7 linked regions of the Mus musculus genome follow. The protein of the gene in region 6 interacts with the protein of the main gene of each other region in a pairwise test. Links are inferred from orthologs where the notes say so. Each region holds a gene or a part of one and is shown on either strand. Other genes may lie near its edges.

Evidence for each region.
Region 1: the proteins of Sorbs3 (region 6) and Sh2d4a interact in binary tests that used the Homo sapiens proteins (3 or more experiments, as listed by UniProt). The two-hybrid records come from large-scale screens. The link is inferred for Mus musculus from reciprocal best matches to the Homo sapiens genes SORBS3 and SH2D4A.
Region 2: the proteins of Sorbs3 (region 6) and Pak2 interact in binary tests that used the Homo sapiens proteins (3 or more experiments, as listed by UniProt). The two-hybrid records come from large-scale screens. The link is inferred for Mus musculus from reciprocal best matches to the Homo sapiens genes SORBS3 and PAK2.
Region 3: the proteins of Sorbs3 (region 6) and Vars2 interact in binary tests that used the Homo sapiens proteins (3 or more experiments, as listed by UniProt). The two-hybrid records come from large-scale screens. The link is inferred for Mus musculus from reciprocal best matches to the Homo sapiens genes SORBS3 and VARS2.
Region 4: the proteins of Sorbs3 (region 6) and 9330159F19Rik interact in binary tests that used the Homo sapiens proteins (3 or more experiments, as listed by UniProt). The two-hybrid records come from large-scale screens. The link is inferred for Mus musculus from reciprocal best matches to the Homo sapiens genes SORBS3 and KIAA0408.
Region 5: the proteins of Sorbs3 (region 6) and Cpne2 interact in binary tests that used the Homo sapiens proteins (3 or more experiments, as listed by UniProt). The two-hybrid records come from large-scale screens. The link is inferred for Mus musculus from reciprocal best matches to the Homo sapiens genes SORBS3 and CPNE2.
Region 7: the proteins of Sorbs3 (region 6) and Socs7 interact in binary tests that used the Homo sapiens proteins (3 or more experiments, as listed by UniProt). The link is inferred for Mus musculus from reciprocal best matches to the Homo sapiens genes SORBS3 and SOCS7.

What each region holds. Positions count from the first base shown.
Region 1 is NC_000074.6:68,275,147-68,279,327, reverse strand, and holds the start of Sh2d4a (SH2 domain-containing protein 4A), read right to left. Parts: upstream 2,801-4,181; 5' UTR 2,456-2,800; intron 2,443-2,455; exon of another isoform or gene 2,381-2,442; intron 1-2,380. UniProt on the Homo sapiens protein: Inhibits estrogen-induced cell proliferation by competing with PLCG for binding to ESR1, blocking the effect of estrogen on PLCG and repressing estrogen-induced proliferation. May play a role in T-cell development and function.
Region 2 is NC_000082.6:32,076,543-32,080,526, forward strand, and holds the start of Pak2 (serine/threonine-protein kinase PAK 2), read right to left. Parts: upstream 2,801-3,984; 5' UTR 2,546-2,800; intron 2,510-2,545; exon of another isoform or gene 2,291-2,509; intron 1-2,290. UniProt on the Homo sapiens protein: Serine/threonine protein kinase that plays a role in a variety of different signaling pathways including cytoskeleton regulation, cell motility, cell cycle progression, apoptosis or proliferation.
Region 3 is NC_000083.6:35,664,793-35,668,926, forward strand, and holds the start of Vars2 (valine--tRNA ligase, mitochondrial precursor), read right to left. Parts: upstream 2,801-4,134; 5' UTR 2,482-2,800; coding exon 2,281-2,481; exon of another isoform or gene 2,274-2,280; intron 2,134-2,273; coding exon 2,052-2,133; intron 1,964-2,051; coding exon 1,863-1,963; intron 1,461-1,862; coding exon 1,339-1,460; intron 1,248-1,338; coding exon 1,181-1,247; intron 1,092-1,180; coding exon 994-1,091; intron 61-993; coding exon 1-60. Other genes in the region: Gtf2h4 (general transcription factor IIH subunit 4), read right to left, coding at 3,038-3,210, 3,636-3,714, 3,818-3,865. UniProt on the Homo sapiens protein: Catalyzes the attachment of valine to tRNA(Val) in a two-step reaction: valine is first activated by ATP to form Val-AMP and then transferred to the acceptor end of tRNA(Val).
Region 4 is NC_000076.6:29,210,272-29,214,442, reverse strand, and holds the start of 9330159F19Rik (uncharacterized protein KIAA0408 homolog), read right to left. Parts: upstream 2,801-4,171; 5' UTR 2,577-2,800; intron 1-2,576.
Region 5 is NC_000074.6:94,531,656-94,535,827, forward strand, and holds the start of Cpne2 (copine-2), read left to right. Parts: upstream 1-1,372; 5' UTR 1,373-1,538; intron 1,539-4,172.
Region 6 is NC_000080.6:70,204,872-70,208,943, reverse strand, and holds the start of Sorbs3 (vinexin), read left to right. Parts: upstream 1-1,272; 5' UTR 1,273-1,316; coding exon 1,317-1,420; intron 1,421-2,089; exon of another isoform or gene 2,090-3,580; intron 3,581-3,623; exon of another isoform or gene 3,624-3,833; intron 3,834-3,888; exon of another isoform or gene 3,889-3,956; intron 3,957-4,072. UniProt on the Homo sapiens protein: Vinexin alpha isoform promotes up-regulation of actin stress fiber formation. Vinexin beta isoform plays a role in cell spreading and enhances the activation of JNK/SAPK in response to EGF stimulation by using its third SH3 domain.
Region 7 is NC_000077.6:97,386,292-97,389,791, reverse strand, and holds part of Socs7 (suppressor of cytokine signaling 7), read right to left. Parts: intron 681-3,500; coding exon 545-680; intron 227-544; coding exon 106-226; 3' UTR 76-105; intron 1-75. UniProt on the Homo sapiens protein: Substrate-recognition component of a cullin-5-RING E3 ubiquitin-protein ligase complex (ECS complex, also named CRL5 complex), which mediates the ubiquitination and subsequent proteasomal degradation of target proteins, such as DAB1 and IRS1.

The sequences.
Region 1 (4,181 bases), on a different chromosome or scaffold from region 6:
AAGAAAACTGCACAAGTGGAGATACCCCAGCAGTGCAGAAGCCCTACCCTTATCAAGTACAGATAAGCTTAGAGAAGACACAGAAGAAAATACCCCATCCAGAAAGGAGACAAGGTTGACACCCACATTGGTCCAGTAGGGAGTTTGTCTTCCATTTATTCTCCACTTGCCAGGTGCTTTGTCTCCTTAATAGTCCCTTTCCTAGTACCTCAGTAAAGAGGTGTGCAAGCTCTTTTCTTTCCTTTGGCTTTGCTTTGGGTAGCTTGTGTAACATGGGCTTCAAGCATCAATGTTATCTGGAATGTTTTATTTTATGGTCTGGTGATTAAAGCCTGGCCCTTGCACATGCTAGGCAAATTCACTGTTATTGAGCTATACCTCCAGTCCCCCTTTTACTCTATATTTTGAGATGGAGTCTCAATTGTCCAGGCTAGTTTTTAACACATCCTAGCCTAAGCAGGCTTTCAGCTTTCCATACTGACTGCCCTTTTTCTCTCACAAAATTGTTATTATAGACCCTGACCACCAGGGACAGTTTAATTACACTTGAAGAAACTACAGTGGCTCCTGGTGGCCTCAGAGAATACAAAAGAAACCCAATTAACAAGTGATGGCTTTTGACTATGGGCACCAAATTGGACTGCTGATTCCCTCTGAGTATAGCAGCAATTGGCTTACAGGATACTTCAAAGGACACCAGCCTAGATTCCCAGCTCTGCCTCCAGTGAGCTGTGACTTTGGGAGGTCACCTCAAGTCTTTGGACCATATTTCCTAATCCATAAAATTAATCTGGGGATCTTTGTAGCTCTTGGATACTGAGATAAAATCTACGTTGAAGTTCCTGAGACAAGTACAGGAAATAAAAAGGAGGAAGTGAATCCGCCTGGGTTTTTCCTTCTTTCACTCTACAGGACAATCACTGCTAACGTTGATCTGCACGGTGATGGTTTTGTCTCATACTGAGTGTAATCACTCGAGGTTCAACACAAAGTGCAGCTCAACTAACTTGTTTTTCTTCTCCTGTGGCATTTTTTTTTTTGAAAAAGACAAATAACAAGCAACAAGTCCATACCTGTTGCTCACTCTAAAAATTTGAAAGAGTACAAAATTCAGTTAGGTTCCCAGGATACCTGTAGATCTGGTCTGACTTTCACACTTTCCATTTTTCTACATAATTGTGTTTTTAATTAGTATAGAGCCTAATACAGCTATCTTCATAGAATTATCGTGGTATGTATAGTACATATATCCCTAAAGTTAAGAATTTAGATTAAGTTCTATCTATTCTTTAAACAGCTAGCTCTGTGGACAGGCTTCGGATTGTTCGATTTTTTTTTTCTCATTAATTTACTTGATGATTTTGAAAATAAAATAAATTGCAAGTGGTGAGAGCAGCTGGAAGTTCTGTAAATGCTCTCGAGATTGAAGTATTTCACAGATATAACTAGACAAGTCCATTTGTGCCCAATCTTCACCTAAGTATTTCTTCCACTTATTTATTAAATTAAAAATTATAAATACATTGTTTCGTTCCACAAACAAGAGAAGCTTGTCAGGGAACTGAGCAAGATGTAGCTGGTTATCCCTGCTTCTCTAGGGCCATAGTGAAGAGAAACACTATTGAGAAAATCTGCAAACAGTGAGTGACTCCACCTAGGGCCCATGAACCCCCCAGGGCAGGAGTGGCTGCGGATGGTTTACTTTTGTTGAGGAAAGTTCTTGCTAGGCTGATTTTAGATTGAGCCTTGACCCAGAACCATAGGGAGGGGACGAGCCCGCTGCTCTCTGTACCACGTGAGGGCGCCCGCGGGAGGGTGTCCCCGCGCGGGGAGCTCTCTAATAGAGTTCTGCGTGGGCTGAAACAGGTTTCAGGACTCTGTCTGGAAGGTCACCTCCGGGCCAGGAGAGACCACATGGCACTGCCCAGTGATTGGACCTCCGCTGATTTGTGGGTACTGTTGCAGGCACCCAGCACCTGCTTCGTGGCCCCGACCCTCGCAGGTTGCTTCCGCAGCTGCACCTGCCCCGGCCAGTGTAAGCACTCACCACGCGTGCATGCACACCGCCCGGGCACCATGACTTCCCTGAAAGACTCCAAGTTGCCTCCGATTCTCCTCCCACTGGAGACTCTTAGTATAATGATCACAAGCCCTCTATTCTTAGGGCCGCCACTCGCCCGGCCCCGGCTGCCGATACTGGACACCCTACACGAGACATCGGACACCCACAGCTGTGGCGGTCGGTTCCTCTGGGCACCCGAGCTCGCCCTGCGCGCGGTGGAGGAGGGACCAGAGGGACAGGTGAACAGCCTGACCGCGGGAACCAGGGTCTCCTCCTGTCCCTGTCCTCTGTGCTTTACCCTTCGCTCTAGAGACTCACCTGCTGGTTCCCACTCCTCGCTCACCCTTCTGCCTGGCTCCATGCTCCAGCGTTTTACCCGACCCGGTCACCTACCTGCTCAGTACCCGGAGCAAGGTGACCCAAGCACCTGCCACCTCCAGATTGCCTACAGCAACTGTCCGGGAAGAGAAGGGAGGACAAGCAGAGACCCAGCCTCCCAGAGACCCAGCCGCGCGGGCTGTCTGGACAAACACTCGGGACCAGAAGGACACTCAGCGTCCAGATCGCAGCCCTGGCCCGCCCCGCCGCGCCCACATGCTGGGGTGACTGACTGGGCGCTCCCTCAAGGCCCCACCCGGGTGCTGGAGGCGCTCCAGGGCCAGTAGGCAAGCTTGGCTGCCTTGGTCCAGTGACAGCAAGGCCACTAGTCCTTGGTTAATCTAGAGCGCTGTCTACAGTCTGGGGTAGTTTGCCTTACCACCTCAGTGGGGGTCTGTGGGACTTATTAATTACAATAGTCCGGCCCCTTCCACATTTGACTTGTAGGTGGAGCCTGCGGAGGCAGGCAAGGCCCATTTGGGAACCTGGGTCCTGCAGGCCAAGTTGGCTGTAGTTCTGCCCCTGCATTCTACAGCTTACTTTTTCCTTCTCTTTTGTTGACATTAAGTAAATTATCAAACTCTGAAGCATTTGTGACTCCAGGTGTGGCTTTACCGAGCATGATCAAGGAAGAGAAAGACTGGAATGCTGCAGGCTGAAGGCACTAGGGACAGGGGCAGCCAGGGAGAGAAACATGAAAGGGGGAAAAAGGTGGAAGTCCCCTGTGACTAACAGATCAGGGCCCGGATGGCACAGAGCACCAATGAAGCCTAAGCATACGTGGGAGGGAGGAAAGCTGAGCCGAGTGGAAAGGTGGACCAGCCTTTTCCACGGGTGAGGAACGTTAGGGATGTGGGGAGAAAACAGGGCTGAGAGGTGCGGAGGGATGACACAGGACCTCAGACTGTGGAGGTTAGAGAGAAGTCTTATAAACAAGAAACACGGTGTGACTTTATACACCCTGTCCAATCGATTTAGGAGCCTGGCATGCTGGACCCAAACATTGTTTATCTTAGGCTTTCACAACCGCAGAAAACCCTTGAGTTGGAAAACCTTACAGCCAGGAGTTACACCCTACACTCTCAGGAAACACGACTCAGCCATTTGGGAATTGTGCTTGAGATCCACTCAGGCAAGGACTCCCGGCCCGAAGCTTACTCTCCACTGTACTGAACTGGGTGGCCAGATGAGGTGCCTTAGAATGCTCTGTCCTCCTCTGCCTACTGGTGGTATCTGCTCAGCACGTGTCCTCACACTCTCTGGAAACTAAGGAGCTGTACAAGCTGGCTATCAGCCAGCTCAGGGGCCCATGGGACACTGATGCTATCACTAGGTACCCTCCTCCAGACTCATTCTGTCTCCAAGTCCTGACAAGCCTTTCTTGATGACAGCTCTCCCCCTTACATTTAGCCTTACAGTTTGCCATTCACGATATCAGCAGTGCCTGGCTGATTCAATTCTTGTGAGGCTCAAGTGAGATAATGCATGCAAAGTGCTCAGAGCATGGCTGGCCCTAATATGTTTGGATACTTACTGCATGCCAGAGACTATTGAATAGATAGAGGCTCTTGCACAAAGTGTTCAGAACCATTTCTGGCACGCAATATTCAAATGCATTTGCTCCTATTACTCCACATCAGATACTGTAAATTCGTGTTCCTACTTTATACCAAGGCTATGAATTTTTGTGTCTCACCTTACCTGGATTGAGGCTATGAGCAATTATCCTGGTCAAAGCATG
Region 2 (3,984 bases), on a different chromosome or scaffold from region 6:
TCTGTAACTAGCAGTGCTTGAGGAGAGAAAGGCCTGACCTAGTCTCAAGACTGGAACACAGTCCAATTTGAACCAAAGCCAGAAAACTGAAAGCACCGAGTACGGAACATTATTACTGTAATAACCAATACTGATGAAGATAGTAAGGATTCAGCCATAGCTACTAGTTTTATACTTGGCAATTATTTCAAGCTCCTGCATTTTGTAAAAGTATAACTCAGAGTTTATCTTTAGCTAACCAGAACAAGTTTTAAATTTCCTCATTTAAAACACGTAAAACTAGCCTTCATCATGTCTAGTTGGAAACTTGCCTATCATAAAAATCAAAGAAACACGAGAACCTTTTATCAGACATATATCAACTAAAAACTATCACTTCATGAATTTAGGTTTCAGGACACGGATCACAAAGCCCAGAAGAATTAATCTCTTTCTCTCAAAAGGTAAATCTGGAATCAAGGCCCCAAGATAAGTGAAATACCCAAGAATTCTCTTTTTAAAAACATGTCTGCTTGCCCAACACAATGGTAATCTCACTGGCTAGGATTCTGACGCAGATCTTAAGTCCAGAAGTTTGAAACAAACCTGGGTATCATAGAAAGAGGCTGTCTCCAAAGAAAAACAAACAAATACCTGCTTTTGGAAACAAATGAGATATTCTGCAGGCACAGGCTTGCAATCCCAGCTACTAGGGAGGTTGAGAAGAAAACCCCAGTTCAAGGCTTACCTGGTAGGGAAGAGATTCAATACCAGCCTGGGAAACAGTGAGACTGTCTGCACAGAGAAGAGAGGGCTGGGCTTGTAACTCAGTGCTGCAAAGAACACTTGCCTAGCATCACAGGGAGGTCTGCGGTTCAATCCGGTACAAGGGGTTAAAAAGGAGAAAGAAACAGCAGAAACTAACTTCAAGGTACTTTTTCATTCCCTGACATTCCTCCCTAGTGTCAAGACAACTCACTAACCTAAGAACAACCCACAGTACCAAAGGATGGCAGTACTTGATACTAATCCATTTCCCCCATAGCCTGGCAGAGGGAAAGGTAATAATGTACTAGTGAAAACAAGAAGAAAACATTTTTAATTTTGGGCAACCTCTTTTACCAAAACCCAAAAGTTACATTTTCTATCTATCTAAGCAACAATATAAAATTCAGTTTCCCTGATGTAAATGTACAATAGTGTTCCTGGCTAATTAATCTCTAGAAAGACCTAAAAAGAGAGGCTACCAAATATGTTGGCTAACACGTGTAATCCCAGCACACAAGGCTGAGACAGGAAGAGTGTCACAACAGCCTGAGCTGGAATGAGGCCCTGTCTAGGAAAGGCAGAGGATGGGTATAAAAGTATACGAAAAAGGCTTCCTTCACACACACACACACACACCCCAACTGAAGAACTGGGGTAGAGACAAGCAAGAATGTTCTACAAATGCCACAGAGCTTCTGGCAAAGTTGACGTGCCCTAACCTGTTTTAAAAATTACTACTCACTGCCTTCATCCCAACCTAATTTTATTCATACTATTCTTTTGGATAGCTCTACCAAAAAAAAAAAAAAAAAAATCCCCAGAGCAAATTCTTGTGTATTTATTTCAATATCCTGCCTACTTTATAAGAGCGGAAGAGTCGAATACAGCAGGGGAAAAACGTGACGTGCACAACCTTCACCCAAAACACAGCTCAGCTCGTCGTTGTCTAATTTTGGGCCTAACCGGTTTGGTTGTCTTTTTTTAAAAGGTTAGAAACGAAAAGCTGGAAAATCTACAGGTCACTTGTAAAGAAGAACCTGGCGGCTATCGATGGGAGTTGGTGATTTGTCAAAGAGGAAACAAATCTCACTTCCACTCTACCTAGTTCTATTAAGACAGGGGATGGAGAGAGCCTCCTTCCCATCAAGCCACAATGGCAATTATTTAACACACTTCTGTCTTGGACGACTTGATCTAGAACTAATCAAAAGGCTGAGTCCATTAAGTTATTTGCAGCAACTTTTTTTTTTTCTTGTGAGGGCGCGCGTGTTTCAGACAGCCAAACATGGTGAAAAGCCAACCTCAGCCCAAGTTAACCTTAAGAAGCAAATATTCACCTCCTGGCTAAAGATCAAGCAAAAACCGTAAGATCCTTAACTTCTGTTCTTAAACGCAGGCTCCCAGAGCCCGGCAAAAACTTTTTCCTAATGTGGAGGAGGAGGAAGAGTTTACACACTGAACTTAAGGAGCTCGCGACAGGATTCCCGAGCGACGAGACTGCAGAGAACGCAGCTGGTAAAGGAGGGAACATCCAGGAACAAACCCGAGTCGTCCGGTGCAGCGCCGGCGGGAGAGAAGGGCAAGGACGGCCGGAGTGGCCAGGGTCCCCACAGCCCAGCAAGCTTCCTCTCGGCCGAAGCTTAGAGCCAGGGCGCAGACAATGAGCCACCGCCCGGAGCCGCGGGCCCGCCCGCAGGTGCTGGCGTCCCGGGCCGCTGGGCCCAGGCCGCGGAGGCGGGAGGAGGGCGGCGGCTCGGCCCGGCCCGGCCCGGCCCGGGCGAGCGGCAACCGCACTTACCAGAGAGGAAAGGTCTCCGCCCGACCCAGGGCGGGCTGCTTGGCCGACGCGGGCGAGCACTGCGCTGGGGCGCTGAGAGGGAGGAGGGCAGGGCGGAGGGGAGCGGCGCGGGGCGCGGCCGTCGCTACCGAGGCCGTGAGGCGCAGAACCCCTTGGGCCAGGGAGGGGAGGGCAGGAGCCTTCGGCAATGGCGACGGCCCGGGCCGGAGGGGAAGCGGAACAACCGCTGCCGCTGCGCGTGGCCACAACCCTGGGGGAGGGCGGCGGCGGGGGCGCGGGGCGGGGCCGTAAGACAGCCCCGCCCTGAAAGTGGCGTCATGACCCGAGGGGCGGGCTTTCACAGGGCGGCTGGGAACCGTAGTCTAGTCATCTGTTAGGGAGACTCAGGACAGTGGGCGTTACAGAGAAAACCTGTCCCTCATTTATCAGCATTCTGCATTGTCTGCAGTTACGGTTTACCTACTGACAAAGCTGACGGAGAACAGCTGATCCAAACATATTTGTGTGTAGAGGGTCTTTGTTTCTGAGAATGTATCCATTCACCAATTGGTGTTTTGTGGGGAGGGATGGCTTTTCGAGTCCTGGCTGTCCTGGAACTCACTCTGTAGTCCAGGCTGACTTTGAACTAGAGATCCTCCTGCTTCTGCCTCCTGAAGAGGTACTGCCCAGCTCACTTTGTTTTTTGGTTTGGTTTGGTTTGGTTTGGTTTTTTGGAGGCAGGGTTTCTCTGTATAGCCCTGGCTGTCCTGGAACTCACTTTGAAGACCAGGCTGGCCTCGATTAAAGGAATGCGACGCCACCGCTTTTTTTTTTCCTACAAATTTAACCAGATTAAGTTGAATCAGATTATGCTGCTAAATTAGGTCCTCCCTCTTTGCAAAACAAAGATTTTTTTATTTTTCTGTATTTTATCAATGGAGGAGTTAATTCATGTATTCTTATTCCACAACTATGTCAATATCTAATATCTACAAAAGACCATTTAGGTACCAGAAATGAACATGCTTCACCTAGTCTTTGTAAAGGTTAAAAACATGAAAACGGTGGTGGCGCACGCCTTTAATCCCAGAACTCGGGAGGCAGAGGCAGGCAGATTTCTGAGTTCGAGGCCAGACTGGTCTACAGAGTGAGTTCCAGGAAAGCCAGGGCTATACAGAGAAACCCTGTCTCAGAAAAAAAACAACCAAAAAAACGTATGAAAACATAAAAACCAAAACACTGATACCTGTTACAAGGTGGGGAAAAAGCTGAGGGATTACCGTGGACAGAGTGGACAGAGAAGGTGGCAGTTAAAACAGAAAAAGGAACTCGGAAGAACTGAGGGGAAAGGATTACAAGTAGGAAGAGGATTGCCACGGTCAGTGAGAGATGAAGGCTAGGCTCACAACCAAAACCACAAGACTTATGTAGCTGCACCTTGGTGTAAGATGGGTATATTA
Region 3 (4,134 bases), on a different chromosome or scaffold from region 6:
CGATCCCAGTCCAGAGAGGCACCCAGAGCACACAGCTGTTCATAGATCTCCCCTCCTTTCCTGCACCAGAGATTTCTATCAGTAAATATGACCAGAGCACCTCCCAGCACTAACCATAGGTGCTCGCCAATGCCAGGTACCGGAGGAAATAAAGTGCGCATAGAGCTGACCCCGCTGATGGAGATAGAACCACACACCTGGGGTGGGGCGTCCTATGGCTTTAAAAGATACAGAAAGGTCTCTGCAGGGTTATCTAAACCTTTGGCTTCTCTGAGACACACAGGATGGATGGCTATTTTAGGCTACAACCAGTAGTGTCTAAGCTGTAGCCCACTGGTTGGAGGCACATACATGCACATACATACATGCATTCGTTTTGCATAACACCGTAACAGGTCATTGCCATGTACAAAGTTTACATTTGAGAATTATGTAGTAAAGCAAAAAGTCCTCAAAAGGTTTTAAGTTTACAATTCACAGCTACACTGGGATGCAAGAGGCCCATGGGCCAAGGCCTGTACACACCTATCGGGAGCAGCCACTTTGTGAAAAATGTGTGTGTGTGTGAGAGAGAGAGAAAGAGAGAGAGAAAATGAGAGAGAAAGAGAGAGAGAAGCACATGACCACCACAGACATAGGAAGGCCCAGGGGCATGGGAGAGGTGATGAAGTCCAAAGGAAAATAAGACAAGGAGGTTAAATAAACCACACATTTGTATATATCCATCCATATACACATAAATGTGTGCATCCTAACATGAGCATAGGACACACAAGTGTGCATCCCAACACAAGCATAGTACACACGTGTGTGCATTCTAACATGAGCACAGTATACAGACAAATGTGCACATTGTGACACACACGCACACACACACACTCTTGGCTCAGACATCATTCCCTCTGCTCCGAGACAGTGAAGCACAAGGCCAGAAAAACCAAATGCTACAAGTCAGAAGTAGTGCTGACAATCCCACTGGCCCTGCCCTCGTACTCATGTTTCCACTGCCACACGGCCCTGAGGAAGTCTTCCCGGCTCAGCTCATGTCTCCGCACCCTCTGCTCCTTCCATAGCTGCTTCTCCACCATGGCCTGAAATGGGATCAGGTGTAAATGAAAGCTAGTCAGGCTTCACATAAAGACGGCACTTTCAACCAAGCAGAGGGGGGCACAAGACCCACCTGTGTAGCAATTCCTGCGTGATCAGACCCGGGGATCCACAGCACGCGATCCCCACGCATCCGGTGCCTGCCACAGAAACACCATGGGGACTCTGAGCTCACTGATCCTCACTTCCAGCCTTCCCTTCGGGAACTGCAGTGGCCCCACCGCCTCTCACCAGCGCACAAGTGCGTCCTGGATCGCCACTGTGAGTGCATGGCCAATGTGCAGGGAGCCGGTGACATTGGGAGGTGGGATACACATGGAAAAGGTCTCCCCTGTAGCTTGGGGCAGCCTTGCCTGGAAGGAATGAGGAAGTCAGAGGCGAGGGAGAACTAGTTGTTGCTGTTGCCTAGGGGAACAGCACCCTCTGGTGCCTTGGGGCAAAAAGAACTTCAAGAAGGCCAGGTGTAGTGGCACACGTGTGAAAAGGCAGAGGAAGGCAGATCTCTGAGTTTGAGGCCAGCCTCGTCTACAGAGTTCCAGGACGGCCAGGACTACGTGGAGAAACAGTGTCTCAAATTTATTATTATTATTATTATTATTATTATTATTATTGAAATCCAACACGGGGGAGGCAAAAAGAAAACCAGGGGCCGAAAGAAATAAACATCAACTGTGAAGTTAGCCTGTGCCCACCAAGTTCAAGGGCCACTCACTCTGTCTTAAGGACCTCATAGAAGCCCTCTGCCGCGCACTGACCTGATACTCTGGTTTGAAGAAGCCCTCTCGCACCCACCACTGGTACCAGGCCGCTTCAACATACTGGGGACTGTAAGCAGGAGGCAGGGGCCCAGAAACATCTGTGGAAGCAGAACAGAGATCCACTACTGAACTGCATGTTAGCAGACCAAAGAGCAACAACATCGCAAAACACACCCTACACTTTACCTTTCTTTTCACCTGGCCCGGTGGGGATTTCATACAATACTACCTCCTTGTGACTCCAGGCCTTAGTGGGCACTGCAGGTATCTGCAGGGAGGAAACAGGGTGTGTGTGTGTGTTGCGGAGTGGGGGTGGAGGCTGCAATCCCCAATACACCACAGTCATCTGGATCCCTGCGCCAGTCTCTTTCAGCCCCTTCCCAAGTCTTGGGAGACCCAAGGACTGACCCCTGACCTTGCTCTTCTCAGCTAGCCCAGCCTCCAGGGCCGCCTGTTTCTCGCGCAGGCGCTTCTGTTTGGCTTCACGGTTCCTCCGAGAGACAGGGGAGCCGTGGGGCTCCGGCTGTGTACAAAGTGCCTGGGGCCTGGAAAGACCCCATGAGGGCCTCAGCCCCCAGAGCGGTGGCCGGAAAGAGGCCAGAGGCAAATGAGGCATCGGGAGTGTTTGGGAAGGGATGGAGGTCTGCTCACTACGAGGCCATGGGATGCAGGAGGTCGCAACCCTTCACTCCCATCCGCAGGACCCTCTCTCACTCTACGTCCTTCCGCCTAGGGGCGGAGCGCACGGTGTGGACAGCACTCTGGAATCACTGAAACCAGGGCGTCCAGAGAAGGCGGGAGCTCTGCCCGTCACCGGGCACTGACGCGGACACGAAGGTTGGGGTTCGGAAGCCTGGGACCACCCCCACCCCCGCAACCTCGGCCATGCGCCTCTAACTCGAACGTCCCGGCGAACTCAGAGCCGATAGGTGCATGGCGAGGTGCGCGCGCATGCGTGGGCGGGGACACGCAGGCGCATGCGTAAAAGACTCTCGCTCCTCCGGCTTTCTGGCTAGAAGCGGGTATCACTGCGTTGGGTAGGGAAACGCCGGCAGACGTCTGAAGCCGCGTAGATTTTTTTCCATAATTTTATTAAACAAGAAATATCCCGGTGTGTAAACAAAATACATCTGAGTTGGAAAGCTGCCCGCCCGGGGCTGGACCTGGCCGGCTCAGGAGCTGTGCTTCTGCCGCTTCCAGAAGCGCTTGACGTCGCTGTGCCCTGCCGGCGTCACCACCATCAGCCGCTTGGCCGAGTTCTCGAACACAAGCACGCCCAGCTCCCGCGCGTGGGCCAGCAGCAGTTCAAAGTCCACTTGCGACAGGAACTGGTTATACAGGACGCCTGGGGTCGGGTGGGACAGGCAGGAGGTGAGGGGCTGCAGTGGTCTCTGCCCCTCCAAGCAGCATGCAGGCAGGGGCTGCAGGCCACAGTTCTTAGGACTAATTCTCTACGGATAGTCGACTGTTCAACTTTAACACCTGTGGCATCCAGACACTCGAAAAGACAGCAGAATCCACAAGAAAAGCCACGCAAACCCACCTAAAGAGAAGACTGAATTACCCTGCCTCTTATCCCCTCACCTAGCTTAATTCAAACTGCACTGATTTGGGACATATTTCCTGCTACTAATATACCAAAATAAAAGATCAGTCTTCCTCTCCTTCCCTTTTGAGAAACAAATACGAAATGCACAAAACTTTTGCGTGAAATTGCTGGCCTTACCTCTTTAGCCAATGATTGAGATTAGGTCAGCGGAAGCCACTCACCTTCAGTGAACCGGAGTCTGTCCCTTTCCAGCTCCCACAGCCGAATCTGGTCTGTTATGGTGGGGGGCAGCACAGGATTCTGCAGGACAAGGGTGAGGCTATAGGACCTGGCTTCTCATCCATCCTCTCGCGGCTAGGTGCCCAGGCTGCCAGCCCCCCTGAGTCTTGGTACCCAGTCATACCTGTTTGAGCATCACTGGATGTGCCCTTGTCCTTAGGAAATGGATTATCTAGGAAAACACAAGAATGTAGAAAATCGGGCTGGCGAGATGGCTCAGTGGGTAAGAGCACTGACAGCTCTTCAGAAGATCCCGAGTTCAAATCCCAGCAACCACATGGTGGTTCACAACCACTGTAATGAGATCTGACGCTCTCTTCTGGTGCGTACTTATGTATAATAAAACTTTAAAAAAGAAGAATGTAGAAAGTCATCTGAGCTAATGTCACTGAAACAGCATCTCTGTTCTCCTAGCCACAAGCCTGACAAGACCCAGGCCTG
Region 4 (4,171 bases), on a different chromosome or scaffold from region 6:
AAGATCACATAGATGGTTGTGAGCCACCATGTGGTTGCTGAGAATTGAACTCAACAGTCATAACCACTGAGCAATCTCTCTAGGACCACAAATTCTTGCTAAGTGCTGATTTCTTTCCCTTGCATTTCATCTTCCCACTTCCCCTTCATCCTTTCCTTCACTCATCTCCATGCAAACCACTTTTTTTCCCCCTAAAGTAAAACTAATTATTTCAAACTTTCCCTCATTGGAAGCAAATCTCAATGGGTTAACTCTTATATTCCCTTTAACTCTCTTGCCTTGGTAATTTTCAATTTTATTAAAGACATATACTAAGTTAAGTATAGTGCAAAACAATTTGTCCCTAGTAAAAAGTTGGATAAATATTTAAAACTGCTTTTTTTTAATCATTCTAAATTGAGTTTTTAGAATGTCAGACTAAATGATCTATTTTGTGGGGACAGAATGTTCTGTGGTGAGAAGTTTCAAGGCCAAATGGATTAGCCATTCAAAAGCCTGGCTTTCGGGCTCTCCACTGAAGCCAATATAAAAGCTCTCCTTGTTCTTAGCTGTCAGGCTTCCCCTCCCACATATTCTGGCATCACTGTGGGAGAGATGAAAGGAGTTCTCCATTTTACATCTCCTTCTCCCTGCTCCTAGCTCCTCGTTGTTTCATTTCAGCATTCTCAAATTTCATTCAGAATAGAAGTTCATTAGAGGAACTGTAGAGAGGTAGTGACTTGATTTGCTAGTCATACAAATGCCCCGCCCCTAGCAACATTACACTAGCATTCCATAATCCCCTTTAATCTACTTCTCCTCAAAATCAGACACCAAGATTATAAAGGGTTATAAAGATTATAAAGACACCAAGATTATAAAGGGTTATAAAGAATATAAAGACACCAAGATTATAAAGGGGAGTGGGTTGTGCAGTGCTGTAATAGGAAGCAAGACGGTTTAGCTGATGGTTCAGTCCTGCCAAGGAGCAAAATATAGGAACAGCAAAGGGGGGCTCATGAACTGTACATGATAAAATACAAACTTTGATTATAAACAACTTTTAGGTCGGGGAAGCAAAGATATAAATATAATAACGTTGAGCAGAGGATTACTGTTGCAGTCTTGGTCCCTAGACCCACCTCAGTTTGGCCATGGTCATACATCTTTACCCAAGGCATGCTCAGTGCTTTCTACTTCACAGTTATGACCATTTCAAACTCCATCTTGCCTGCTGAAACTGGATTTTAGCCAACTAAGGCATGTCAGGAGGGTTGATCTTACTGCTTCGGTCTTAGGAAAATTCTGCTTTGAGTTTGTGCCCATTATTTTCTCGTTTTTTTTTCTGGGCAATATTGTATTTCTTTCTCTCTCTCTTTTTGTTTGTTTGTTTGTTAGTTTTTTCCAGACAAGGTTTCTCTGTATACCCCTGGCTGTCCTCGAACTCAGAAATCCGCCTGCCTCTGCCTCCAGAGTGCTGGGATTAAAGGCATGCGCCACCACTGCCTGGCGCATATTGCATTTCTTATATTTCAAGTCCTTTACAAACATGAGGATGCACACTGCAGAAGGAATGTCAGAGACAGCAAATACTTCCAACTTCACAATTCTTAGAGGAAATCATTTGGCCTGGCAATAAGTTGCTCCCAATGAATTTTGTGGGATTAGGAACTTCTGTGCCTATACCTCAAAGTACTGTGTCACCTATCTTCAAAGTAATTCCCTCCCTTACTTTCCAGGTTATTTTCCACCACTGGAACCATTTTAAGCAATTAAGGAATCCTATTGCTCATGTGCTGTTCATCAGCAAATGCATCTATCCAGAGACCTCCCATTCGGTTTTATTAGAAGATTAAAATGAAAAAAAAATTCACTGCTGTTCATTGCTCTTTCTGCCTGCTCCTTGTTTTCTAGCAAGGTCAAAGAAATGCAGCACAAAGAATTCCAAAGAAGCCAATCTTGTTTTCTCATCGGGTCACCATCTTTATTCTTGGATCTCCTCATAGTCTCAATTTAAGCCACATGCGCATTAGTTTTAGTTCCCTTAACCAATAAGATACAAGCTTTGATTAAAAACAACTCTTGGTTTGCAGGAAACAAACACCAGTGTCTTTTAACTCACATTATGAAAAATACTCCTCCTGGAGTGTAATAGTAGTTTTGAATAAAACTACATTTTTTTTTAAATTACAAATTTCAAATAACAGAGAACTCACAGGTTGTAAATTTTATATCACAGATATTAAAAATAACTTCATCCCACCACAGACTGCATTCTAATAAATAGTTAATAGAAACTTACACTGAGCAACGTTTTTCTGAACTGCTGAGAATGAATGAGAAACAGTCTCAGGATGAGGATGTTGCTGTCAGTCCAAGCTTTAGAAATCCACCCTTAGCAGTTGAACAGCCCCTTCTCCAAGGCAGTTGAATCCCTTATGTACCCTGCCCACTGTTCGGAGGCCCAGCCACAAGCACAGCCAGGTCAGGAGATGCTGAAAACACACTTACTTAAATCTCATCTTTAATCTAAGATTCAGAAGCAGTATCCTGCTCTACCCAGTTTGCTCGTTCAAGTTTGCCAAGAAGAAACATACCTTCTTACACTTGGGGGTCGTCCTGCAGCAGGTCAGGCTCTGTGTGGCCAGTCTAGCAATGGCAGAGGTGGGGCAGAGAGCTAGTTGTCTTAAAGAACAGTCTCAGTGGTTCTTTTATAAAACAAAATCCATTCATCTTCCACAGTGGTCCTGACAAACGCCTTTGCAAATTGAACTTCAAAGAGCTACTCTGCTCAGTGTCACAACAGCAGCTGGGCTACTATGACGTCAGGGACTTGGAGGCGGCCTTAAGGCTGCTGCTTCCAACCACAGCTCTGTAACTTTAGAGCAGTTATATCCTCTGGGTAAACAACTCCAGGTCCAGGACATTTTTAACTTTTATAATGGAGCCTAGCATTTTCAAACTTGCCAGGAGAGATCTGCTTGCTAGCAGCACATGATGACAATTTAGATTTCTTTTATTTGGAAAGTAGACTCTTTTTTTAGGAGCAAGAACCATCCTCTTCCTCCATCCCCTCTCTTTCCCTCTCTCTCTACAGTGAGATGCAGTTTCAGTGTCTTTGTTAGTCTGGCCAGGGATGAAGTGGAAATGTGTGAGAAAAAAAAAAAGAAATACACACACACACACACACACACACACACACACACACACACACACACACACACCAGCAAGCATGAGTCAAAATGTATGTTGAAACATATTGAATGTTTGCCTTTATGCAAAATAGAAATGGGGCATATATATATATAGAGAGAGAGGGAGAGAGAGAGAGAGAGAGAGAGAGAGAGAGAGAGAGAGAGAGAGAGAGAATAGTGGTTTACTTTAGTCAATAAAGTCTTTAGGGCCAATATAGCAAATCAGTTACACTGAATTTTAAGTAATAAGCTCTTATCGTCAAGCTAAAGTTTTCCGACTGTACAATATAACAATGTGTCATTTGAAGCATGCCATAATTTCATGTTTTTGGTTTTTGTTGGTTTTTTTTTTTTTTTTTTTTTTTGCCTACCTCCAAGCTCCATCCCATAAGGAGCTAAATTGCTTAATAATGGTAAACTGGTCAGGGCAACCATATATTTATCTAATTTAGTCAACTGACTAATTAATTAGCATATAACATTGCTTAGCAAAACAGGCTAGCCTAAAACTCAATATTGCCTCTCAAACTGGTCTCAATTTAGTACAATCCTGCTTCAGTCTTCCATGTCCTGGAATTAGGGTCTTGAGCCACCAACTCCAGCTTCTTTACTTCCATAGAAGGACGTTATACAGGCAGAATAACCGAAAGAAATGCTTCCCTATGTTTAGAGAGCTAGGATTCATATTTCCAGGGGCAGCCACAATCGTCATAGTTACAATAGCAACACTAGTTATTCACTGGGAGCAGCTTTAAGCAAAGCTCTGTGCTAAGGATGTCAAGTGGAGCTTCGTGTCAGTTTACCACCTTAGCAACTGTCTGCAGTTTTATTCACCGGATCTTACTTATATCCATGGCTTAGAGAGCTAAAACATCTTGACAAAGCCCACAGAAAGACCTCTGAGAGGAGGAGCAGGACTTGGAACCAGTTTGGGGACCCTGGAATATTGTTATAGGGACCGAGGGCTCAATACTTCTGCCCCCATTTAACTGTGTAAT
Region 5 (4,172 bases), on a different chromosome or scaffold from region 6:
TGGAATTGCTGTGACCCCTGACCTTAGTACTCTGCCCTCCTGACCAAGACCTAGTGACATCTTTTCCCTCCCCTCCCCTCCGTACCCACCCCCCCCCAATCGCCATATTCTTCTGGGTTCTTAGAAAAGTGCTGGTCAAGTCCCACAGCTGAGTTGGGTCTCTGTGCTAATTGCCTTTCATCCTGAACTTCTCATCCATCTACTTTTCTACCTGCCATTGCTTCACAGTCTGGAAGAAGACGTTGCGGTCCCCATTTTCTACCTCTGCTCTAAGTGGCGCCACAGGTTGCTTTGTCCCAGAGCTGAGCAGAGGGCATGGAGGACTTTCTGCGCAAGAAGACGAGGAGAATCTGGAGAAAAGCAGAAAGCTCCGGGGACAGGCAGGCAGAGAGAACAAAGCTCTGTGCCCTAGGGCTGCTTAGTGGGGGCCCTTCTAAGGCTGCAAAGTGCCTGTGACTCAGAGGTGGAGGGAGCTCAGAGCTGCAGCGTGAGTCTCCCGCATTAACTCTTATCTGTCTGGAATAGAAAACCTACAACCTCAGTGCAAGGCTTTACCGCTCAGCCCCACAATCCCGAGACTTGTACACCAGGGCCCAGGGCTTTGGCCATGCTTATTAAGACCTCTGGACAGCCATGTCTCCCCCTACACCTCCCACAACAGAATCTGGTTAAAAGAGCTTCCGTGTGGTAATGTCCAGTGGTTTACTTGCTCCGAGGGTACAAAATACCACTGAGCGACCACCAGCTGCCCAGCGACAAAACAGTCCCTTAAGAACTGGTGCCTCTGGTTCAAAAGCTGGCTGCACAGAGGGGAGGCCTCAACTCTCCCGTTGATCCCAAACCCCACTCCGAACGTCTTTATCTCATCGTCTTTGTCACGGGAATATGTGTCATCTTCCCAGTCTCAGGCGGCAAGAAAACGCTATTGAAAGAAATTAAAAAATATATAATAATAAAATAAAAAAGGAAAAAAGAAAACACTGCGGTTCTTGTGCGCAGCTCGGAGGCAAGTCCTGGGCGTCTCCCCGAGGATTCCGTGCTGAGCCCTGCGCGCTTTAGGGTGAGAGCCGCGGGCGGCGCCCCGGGGGTCTAGCGGACCAGGAGATCGCACCCCCGGGTCCCCGCATCTTGAACTGGAGCGCAACGCGGGGAGCTCGGCGGTGCCTGACGCCCAGAGCGGCGGGCCCGGCGCTGGGTGCGAATTCGCGGCATCGCTCGGAGTGGCAGCCTGCTGCATCCAGGTCCTCGCGGGCCACCAGCCGGGAGCGGGACAGGCTCCGGCTTAGCCCGGAGAGCCGCCCCTCCAGGAAGCGCCCGCCTCGCGCCCGCTTCCCGCCCACATCCTCCCTCGACTGGAGGGAGGAGCCCGCGCCGCAGCCGGGGCCCGAGGAGGGCCAGCCCCAGCCCGGGCGAGCGCACGAGTGGGTACGGCCGCGCGGGTAGCGCCCTGAGCCTGTCCCGCGCCGCCGCCCGGCCGACAGCACAGCGCCCGGGGATGCCCCGGCGGCCCGGAGCACGCTGAGGCTGCGGAAAGCGCGGTGAGTGGGGTCCGCGGCGAGGGCGGGCCGGGCACTGTGTGCGCTCAAGTTCGGCCTGGGGCTTGGAGGGGGAGTGGGTTCAGCCGAAGGGACTCCGATGTCCCTGGCCGCCGCCCCCCGCAGCACGCCTGGGGGGGGGGGGCTCAGCTCCCACCCGGCCACGCGGGGGCGCCCGTCTGCGGGGGGCGGCTGGAGGATGGGCGGCTTCGGGGACACTGGCTAGCTATTTAGGAGACCCTCTTCCACCGTTAGATGTCTAGAGGGCGGCTGTGGGCTAGCGATCGCAGCCGCCAGCACAATTGTTTGGAGGCGAGCGCGCCCTTTGATCCCACCCTGACCAGGACCTGGCGCTACTCGGGATCAGCTCTAGGGCCGACTCCCTGCTCCAACTGGGGAGAAGAGATGGGGAATAGTGCCGGGCGGCGTTCCAGAAGTCGGAGTGTGTTTGCAAACTAGTTTTTGCGCAAAAGCTGTCTGGCACCTGTGTGTTTCAAGGGGTGGAGGAGGAAGCGAGAAGCCCTTCTTTTTTTCCCCATCCCCACAATGGTGCTCCTGGGAAAAATAAAGGAGACTAATGTTCCTTTTTCCTTCTCTTCCCCTCCCTTCCCGAATCCTGTCTTTGGTACAGCTGACTAGTCTTTGGATAAGGGGCTACCTCAAAAGGAGGCTGGGAGTGCCCAAGGTCACAGGTGCAATAGCAGTCCGGAGCTGGGTGGCCATTCAAAGGGTCCTCCTTGTACTCTGATTCTTCCTGCCCTATAAGAATTCTGGGGGAAGGGGAAAGGGGAAAGGCCTTTGAGAATTAGCCCAGATGCCCTTTGTTTTGTCTGACCACAGACCACCATCATGTAGGGGTGTGGAACTGTCACGCAGAGATGGGAAGGGGTATTATACTGCCCCTCTCAGAGATAGAAAGGAGTATTATACTGCCCCTGGAGGTGTCTACCGCATCTTTGTTTGGAGGCATTGTTGCTAGGCAGGCTTCCTGCTGAGAATTCCCTAGTCCAGGGTTAGGGTCCTGCTTTCCAGCCTGGGGAGATCCCCTCCCTTTGCCTTCTTCCAGGCAGAGCTAAACTCTTCCAGAATATAGCTCCCTCACCATGGGCTCAGAAGGGATTTGACGTGGGCTCGTCAAAGTGGGAGGGCCTGGTCATCCTTCCTTCTTGTCAGGAAAGCTGCTGTCCAGGAGAAACAATTTAAGGTCCCTGATGCTTCAGGATTGCAGTCAGGGCCAGAGGTGCCTACTGACTCCTAGCTCTTTGCTTGCTGACTTCTGGTCAAGTGGCTGCAACTCCCCTTGTGAGGTCAAGAATGCTGCCTTTTGCATTGGATGAGAGCCCTTCTCCCACAGGAAGGGAGGCATTTTGGGTTGGGTTGTCATTTCTAGTGGCCTGTGAACAGTCCCAATATGGGAGTTGTGAGAGACTTACCTGGCCTTGAACACCTTTTTGTGACCGGAAGTGGGATGGTGGTCTCAACTGTGTATTTCCAGTTTCTGTAAAGTAGGACCGTCTCCTGGGCCTCCTGGAAACTGACCAGACACAAACACTAAAGCGAGAGTTTATTGCCACCTTGGCAGGGGGCCCAGTGAACTCTGGGGCTGTCCTCAGATGATAATGAGCCCCTGGAATGGGAGAGTTCATCAGATGCATTTCTGCATGGAAAAACCAGGGACAAAGGCTATGGATGCTTGAGTTCTCTGTTGCTTCCTGCCTTCCTGCCTTCATGCCTTCACACACACACACACACACACACACACACACACACACACACACACCCTTTGGCTCTGGGTGTTTTTCCATCTGTGAAACGAGGGCCGACGGCAATACCAGCCCATTTGCAGAGCCAGTAGGAAGGCTAGGGCCAGGAAACGGGGCAGGTATTCTTACACGTGGAGAGCTCTTCATGAGGGTCTGTGATTGCCTTTCAAGCCCTCCCCCAGTGCCGTAAGAATTAAAAACCCTCAGGGGACCACGTGAAGAAGAGGGTCAAAATGGAGCCTCAGTTTATCTGTATAATAGTGAGGTGTGCGTGCACTCTCTGTCCCCCTCTCTTTCCAGGTAATTGTGTGCTTCCTTAAAGGTAGTTGTGAGGATCCGTTTAGATGACAAGGAGCTTGTGTGTCAGCGCTGTGACTGGTGCGGGAGGCACTTGGGAACAGCTGTCATCCCATTGTTCCTGGGAATATTACTGCACTTGATTCGCATGACTGCATCCAACATTCCTTCTGGAATTTTTTTTGCCGGGGGGTGGGGGGGCGCTTAAGAGACGAGTCCTGGAATCAGATGCTGGTACCTCTGGGCCATTCGAGGGGCAGAGAGGCCAGGGTAGGAAGGTTCGTTCTACTCAGACCAAGTGTAAAGAAGTAATGCACCCCTACCTGGAGCTGACCTCACTGGGCTCTGACGCTTGAACAGAAGACGGAAAAAGCACTCTCTAGTAATTGCACTCCTGTCAGGAGAAAGGATCTGTACCTGCTGAGACTTCCTAGGTGCTCCTGCCTTCCCCTCTTCTGCCCTCCCCTAGCCCTGCGAGACAGGCTGGGGCTGCAGAGGGTAGGAGCAGAACACCTCCAGAATCCAGCCATCTCGCTTCGAAGCACATGGCTTCCGAAAGGTCTGTGTGGTCTCTATA
Region 6 (4,072 bases):
TAGTTGGCAGTACTGCCAGACCTGGAATCAGGAGATGGCCCCAGGGATGAAACAGAGTCGAGATCTGTGCTAGTATATCTATGGTGACTTGGCTTCAGCTCCTCACTGCTGGGTTGGTTACGGACTCTAGAAGAGTCCGTGTGTTCTTGGCTACTCCCTTCTGATCTGTAGAAAGAGAACACTCTTCTAAGAGCACAAACCAAAAAGGACATGAAAGCCTACCTCAAGAATGTACTGAAGTTTGTCCTAGGGAAGGAACTAGCCGGTGCCTTTCTACCGAACAGGAAGGTCAGGCCTGCAGCAGAGATGTCAGTGTCTCATCCAAATGCTAGACTGTCCTGGACACTAATTGTGATTGAGACTAATTGGTAGTCACTTGACTAATGGTACTTTGAGTTGGTGGCGGAGGACAAGAGGACTATGGGGCTGAGGGGTGGGGGAATGTGCATAGGACAGAATTGGCTGCCTGGGGCTGGGTGGGGCTCCTGGTGACTGGGATCAGATAGCTAGAAAAAACAGAGCAGTTACGTAACTGTGTTTACATGGGCTCAGGTGGCTGTGGCAACCATGGCAGTCCTTGACCCAAGGCCATGCTGGAGGGGTGCAGGCAGCCGACTACTAGGGAAGGAGGTCCCTCTTGAGCAGAAGGGTGTGCAGGAGACAGAGCATGGCATACTGACCAGGGCTGCACTATCTGGGACAATGTTACCTGGCTCTAATGTGCCACTGGAAGCTACTCAGGGTGAGGCAGGCAGGCAGCAGCCAGCTACAGCTAGGGGGAGGGGTCAGGAAACCAGACACCTGGCTCTCTAAGTCCAGTCTCTGAATTCTTGCTACATTTTTCTCCCTAATCTTCTTAAAAGAGGAAGAATTCTCCCTAAATCTGGGCAGAAAAGAGGGCAGGAGATTATTTAAGTTTCCTTGGACTTACCTGCCCTGCGGTCCTAGCGCCTCGTGCCTCCGTGTTTTGTAAAGCCATCCGAATACTTGTGAACACAGTGAGCTCCAACCTGAGAGGTGGCGAGCCAGCCCCGGCCTGACTGACAAAGCAGAGCTGCAGCAGTTCAGCCCTCCATTGCCACCCTCCCCGTTCCTCCCAACCTACATCCTCCAAGACTGTTTACTAGACTCCCCATCCCCATAGAGATGGGACTGGTAGCCAGTCCTCAGCTCCCTTGCCCACACTGTGCCTTCTCTTGTGAGAAACAGGAAGTTGGGACCTTCGGCAGCTCAGCGGCACCCTCTACATTAAATATTTATCTTGGAGTCCAGGTCAGAGCCTTAGAGCCTAAGAAGTTCACTGCTGGTGAAGGGGGATGGCCAGGATTCTTGGAGTGGGAAGATCTTCAGCTTCGTCTTTGAACAACAAAGAAGACAATGAAAGTGATGTAGCCCTTCTTAGTCCCAAGGACCCTAACAGGTGGGAAAACTTTAAAGAGGGACATGGGTAGTACTTTTAATCCCCTGGGGGAGGGGGAGGCTGCTTCCCTGGAATGGGTGGATAATCAAGTGGCAGAGAGGCTGTGTACAGCTGCCTGACCTCAAAGAGGGTCTCAGAGCTCCTCCACTCCTCCATCTCTCTCCCTTCAGCTTTCCTACCTCCGCCCCTCCCACAAACACCGTGTACTGTGTAATACCTACATCCGTTAAAAACACCTCACGTATGCGAATCAGAGCCCTGTTAGCAGGTTTACATCTCTGGAAGCCTATGAAACTGCTTCCTGAAGACTCCCCACTCATGGGAGCTCTGGCACGCTCATCTCTTGAGCTGTCCTTGACCTAAGTTTCCCGGGAGGTGGGGGTGGGTTTTGTTTGCGGGCACCACAAACAGTTCTTCCCCCACAACTGGGAAAATGTGAAGCTAATAAGAGGTGAGCGTGCTAGGGGCTGTGATGTCCTGGGAAACACTAACTCCAGGTGGCTCAGGCACCAATTAAAAGGCAGTAGGTGTCATTTACCATACTCAGCAGTGGACCAGAAACCGTTTTTTTTACCGGTTGATTTGTTGGGGACTTGGGTTCGCAGTGAATCCTAGGCTAGGAGTACTCCAGGGTTTCCATTGTCAGTAAACATTTGCCCTGGCACCTACCAGCAGAAGACTGGACGAGGAGGGGAGGAGGGAGGGCCAGAGAGAATGGGGAGCCAGTGGGCGGTGTCCTTCAGATCTGCGTCAGCAGTCAGCACTGTAGGAACAGCGGAAAAGCAGGATCAAAACAAATACGGTGAATGGGAACACCAAGACCCTCTTAACCTCATCCCCGCCCAAAGGGCCCCACCCTTATCCTCTTCAATGCTGTGGCACGTCCAGGGAGCCGGTCGATTCCCTCCCCCAAACTTTGCACGTGTGTGTGAGCATCCTCACGTTTGCCAGTACACGAGTGTTTGCAAACGCCTGGTCAGTGCGCTTAGGTCTAACAAGCATGAACTCTCTCTCCCCAAGCGGGTGTTGCCTTGTTCCTGGGCCACCGTGACTTATCTCGGTCCCAGCCTGTCTGCCTCCGGGCCTGTCTCCTGCCTCTCCAAGGCCGAGGGCTGCGTATCTAATTCCGGCCCCACCCGGGCTCTGGCACTCAGGGACCATTCGGTTAATCACTCCTGCCCTGTGTCCTGGCTCTTGTGGAGCAGCTCGCTTCCCACACCCTGGAAATGTCGCTGGAAACTCTGAGTGGCCCCCGCCAGCCCTCCCGCCCCTTTCTGACTCCAGCTTTGCGGTGGGGGCCGGGGAAGGCATCTGGGAAACCCAGCGGGCTCCCGGGGGACCCTCGGTGGCCCCTCCCGGCACCGCCTCCTGGACAGCCCGGCCCCTTGGGCAAGGGGCCACAGTGTTCCCGTGGCGCGTCGCCGGACAGAGGGCACTCGCGGGAGTGAGTGAGGGAGTAGCAGGCATCTCCACTTTACTCCAGCATAGCCCCGGCTCACAGTTCAAATCCAAGTCCCAAACTCCTCCTGCCGCATTCATCTCAGGGTCCTGCCTCCTAGCGCGCCCCCTCGGCCGCTCTCTTCCTTGTTGGGCGCCGAGCCTGGCCCAGCGTCCTGACCAGTCACGAGGGCCGTGACCACCCGCACTTTTCCCTGCCCTCTTTCCCCGAGGGCTCGCCGCGGCTGCTCCAGGCAGAAGCGGGCTGGGATGCTCCTGCCCTCCTGGGCAGCCCCAAGCCCCCCCACCTGCTCGCCGGGGGAAGGTAGGTTCAGCGATGCAAAGGGGCGGGAAGGAGGCAAGACATAGCCTGGCGTGGACCGGAGCGAAGGCGTAGAGTCCCTCCCTCCGTGTCCTGGTCTCTGAGGTTGTACAAACCAGAAAAGGTGAATTTGAAACCCCCTGACCCTGTTAGTGGGGAGCTATAGTTTGATAAGACCTGGAAAGGCAGAGAACGACGTCCCCACCATCAAGGCCTCACTCAGATGGGAAGGAGTCCACCAAACCTGGACGTTCTTCATTCTTCTAGGGGTCTGCTGGAATGCAGGGGCTGCCTGGATTCTGGGAACTCACCAGAGGTGTCCGTTTTATGCTAGACAGATACCAATTCCCCAGGAGACCTCTGTCTTCCTTAGGTTCTGCCAAATGTCTCCAGGCAGCCTGCTGGGAGAAAAACCAGGACCACCATGGGGGGCCCTATCCTAACCTCGAGTATTCCCAGGAGCTCAGTGGGAGGGGAGCCGATGGAGGTATCCTAGGGTCAGTAGCTCCTGAAACAAGGTGGTGATGGAGAACTGGTCCTTTTTCCCTAGAGAGGACACTTCTGGATTTGCTGGGAGGGTGGGACACAGTGACATTAGGGAAGGAAGGCCTGTCAGCTGATGGGTGCAACTGCTGATGCCGAAGGCAGTTTGGCCTCAAGCCCTCAGCCGGGCAGGGAGGGGTAGCACACAGCCGGTGTGCCCAGGCTTCCTGGGTCATCAGTCTGCCTGGCTTCACTTTCCCCTGGAGGAAGTCCGAGAGTCGGCAGGCAGCAGCGGTGAGGGCTGCGGGAACGGGTGGCGGGAACGGGTGTGTGTTTGTATGGTTAGCTTTTTGGTAAGAGCTTTAATTGAATCCAGCTGGTGGGCTGCACCTCAGCCTCCCCTCCCCACA
Region 7 (3,500 bases), on a different chromosome or scaffold from region 6:
TTATCAGACAAATTTGTGGGCCAGGAAGTAACCTAGTGCCTAGGCTTGGCAAAGAAAGAGACAGGGTGTTCCTACCTTCATGTTCAACAGCAGGGGTCCTTGCTGCTACGTGGAAGGCTCCACCTCTTGTTTCTGTTTGGAAATGAGCTGCGCTTCCTTTAGGGACAGGTACACCTCTTCCTGAGGATCATAGTAGTAGAACTTTCGAATGTAAGAGATCAGAGGTCTGTGGAAAAACAAGGAGACAGAGAGGGTACCATTTACAGGGACATTTCTCAGAAACTATGACTGCTGTTTCCTTTAAGAATACATCTCTTGCTGAGCCCTCCTCCCTTCTCCATTTCTTCATATTGTATGACACACACATCTTGCTCCCTTTGCTGCAATGTCACAGCTCTAGAGTTAAGTGCTAAGAATCGAAAGAACACTGCCTACAAACGCTTTACGTCAGGCTTGGCCTCCAGGAGCAGCTTGCAAGCGTCAAAGGCACTTCCACTTCTAGTTCACTCCCTCCCCACCCCAAACCCTGACAACCCCATTGTACTTAGGCAGTGGCAGATCCGGAATATGGTCTATTCGGACAAGCTGCCGGATCCGGAATCTGCAAAGATGCTGGAGGGACTTGACATTGCTGAATCTGGACACTGGATAGAGCAGCTGTACTGGAGTTGGTGGCAGTCCTTCAAGAATAAAACCAAAGGAAGATACTCAGAATAACGAAGCTAACTACAGCTCCCAGAAGAAGTGCTGTGGGGAAGATGTCACAGGGCTATTTTAGAGTTCATGTATATACTCTGTGTTAAAGCCCCTTACAAAGGGCTGTTGAGAGCCATCTGTGAGAGCACCATTACCATTCAAGGGAATTTCCTGTCCTCTGATTACCTCCCCAGCAACATTTTGGTTTATTGACAGGCTAGCCTCAACCTAAAGCAATCCTCCTGTCTTAGCCTCCTGAGTACTGGGACCATAGATGTAAGTCCCAATACTTGGGTTCCAGAATCACTCTCCTTCTTCTTCTTCTTCTTCTTCTCCTTCTTCTTCTTCTTCTTTTTTTTTTTTTTTTCAAAACAGGGTTTCTCTGTGTAGTCCTGGCTGTCCTGGAACTCACTTTGTAGACCAGACTGGCCTCGGACTCAGAAATCCACCTGCCTCTGCCTCCCAAGTGCTGGGATTAAAGGCGTGCGCCACCACTGCTGGGCCCAGAATCACTCTTAATTGTGGAAAATAGCCCAATGAACAAGACCACGATAGAGCCTGCTTGGAGCCAAGGGACCAAGTCCAAGCGTGAGGTTCTCAGGGAAGGACAACCCAGAGCCTCCCTGTTGGGAACGGGGATACTTGTGCAGCACTATTTAGCAGTATCTTAAAGATCAGAGCTCAGGATATTCAGAGGTACAGTGGTTTGAATAGCCTTTATGGCCAGAAAGGGTCACATGTTGAGAGGCCAGTCCTTTCTGTGGAGGTTTTGGTACAGAATATTTCAGCTCAAAGGCCCCACAGCATTCCAACTAGTGAGCAGGAAGGGGGCAGGTGGAGCTGGTATCCAGGCTGCCACTCCTGCAACTGTCTACTCAGGCCAGGCCAGGCCAGGCCAGCTTGGTACTTTTCTTCCCTCGCTATTCTCCCTCTCCTACTGGAGCTTAGGCTGGGTTACAGGAACAACACCAATGCTTCTGAAAGACAGCTACTGCAGCTGCACAAGCTGGGCCTCATGCAACAGTGCTCAGGTGCCTGTCCTGTGTACCTGCCAGGCTCCAAGCAAACACTCCTACATGGGTCAGAGCTCCTGTGCTGGGGAAGCCCAACCCCCACAGTCAATGCCACAGAACCCAGCCACCAAGGACAAGGACATCAGGGACTAAAACATTCAAATGAACTAACAATGTTCTGGTTTCCATAGCAATGGGACTATGAAGATTAAGAGAAGCAAACTAAAGATTGAGAAGTGGACTGGAGAGATGGCTCAGAGGTTAAGAGCGCTGACTGCTCTTCCAGAGGTCCTGAGTTCAATTTTCAGCAACCACAAGGTGGCTCACAACCATCTGTAATGAGATCTAATACCCTCTTCTGGAGTGTCTGAAGACAGTGATAGTACACTCACATTTGGTTTTTCAAGATAGGATTTTTCTGTGTAGTCCTGGCTGCCCTGGAACCTGTTCTGTAGACCAGGCTCTAGGCTGGCCTTGAACTCAGAGACCCACCTGCTTTTGCCTCCTGAGTGCAAGGACTAGAAGTGTGTGACACCACACCCAGCTAGGAATTATTTTCTTAGCCACTGTCATATCCAAAGAAATACTACAAACACAAATGGTTAGAAAATAAAATTCTACAATTACTGGGGTTTAATTTCAAACAGCTTTAAAATTTTTTGATTGAAGGCCTGAGGAAAAAAGGAAGTGAAGGCTGTAGATTGTCTCCAAAGCCATGTCATGGTTGCTGACGTGTTCCCTCATGAGGGTCCAGGGGGAACAAGGATTCTATCAGGAATTGCGCTAGAGGCCACTAATGTACGATTTTAGCCAAGAATGTGCCTTCATTCTGTTTACAGCTTGAGAACCTGAGACAGAGGAAAGCTAATGGACTAATTTGTTTGGCAAAGGAAATTTCAAAACCAGAGAGTGCTCAGGCTAATCCTGAGAAAGCAGTTGTAATTGTTAGAGACCAGCACCACTGAAGGGAGAGTGCCTATCTTCACTAACACAACAGGAAGGCGTCCCGAAGGAAAGCTCTGCCCTTAGAGGTCCATCTTGTGTGTGAAGACCTAGATTCATTTTAACAGAGAATCCAGGCTCTCAAACCCCCGGAACCCTGGAAAGCCGGAAGTGTTTGATTCTATAGGAACTCACAGTTAAGACCTTGGACTTGGCCTGGCAGTGGTGGTACACGCCTTTAATCCCAGCACTTGGGAGGCAGAGGCAGGTTAATTTCTGAGTTCGAGGCTAGCCTGGTCTATAAAGTGAGTTCCAGGACAGCCAGAGCTACACAGAGAAACCCTGTCTCGATAAACCAAAAAAAAAAAAAAAAAAAAAATAGACCTTGGACTTTTTTAAAAAACTGGTGATGGGTCGGCAAGGTGGCTCAGTGGGTAAAGACACTGAATTCAAGCCCGGCAGCCTGAATTCAATCTCCAGAGCCCATATGGTAGATAGAGGAAAGACCCAACTCCAGTAAGCTGTCCTCTGATGGTTCATGAGCACTAGGCACACAAATGTATATACATATACACAAATAAATAAACACAATTTTTTTAATTAAAAAGAAGATGAAATTGGCTGGGCAGTGGCACCCGCCTTTAAGCCCAGCACTCACAGAGGCAGTGGATGTCTCTGAGTTCAAGGCCAGTCTGGTCTACAGAGTGAGCTTCAGGACAGCCAGGGATACACAGAGAAACTCTGTCTTGGAAAAACAAAAAAGATGAAATTGTTAAAGACAATGGGGATCGTTAAAGTCAGTTGGAATATATAATATACATTATTAACATGGTCATGAGCCTCTAAGGG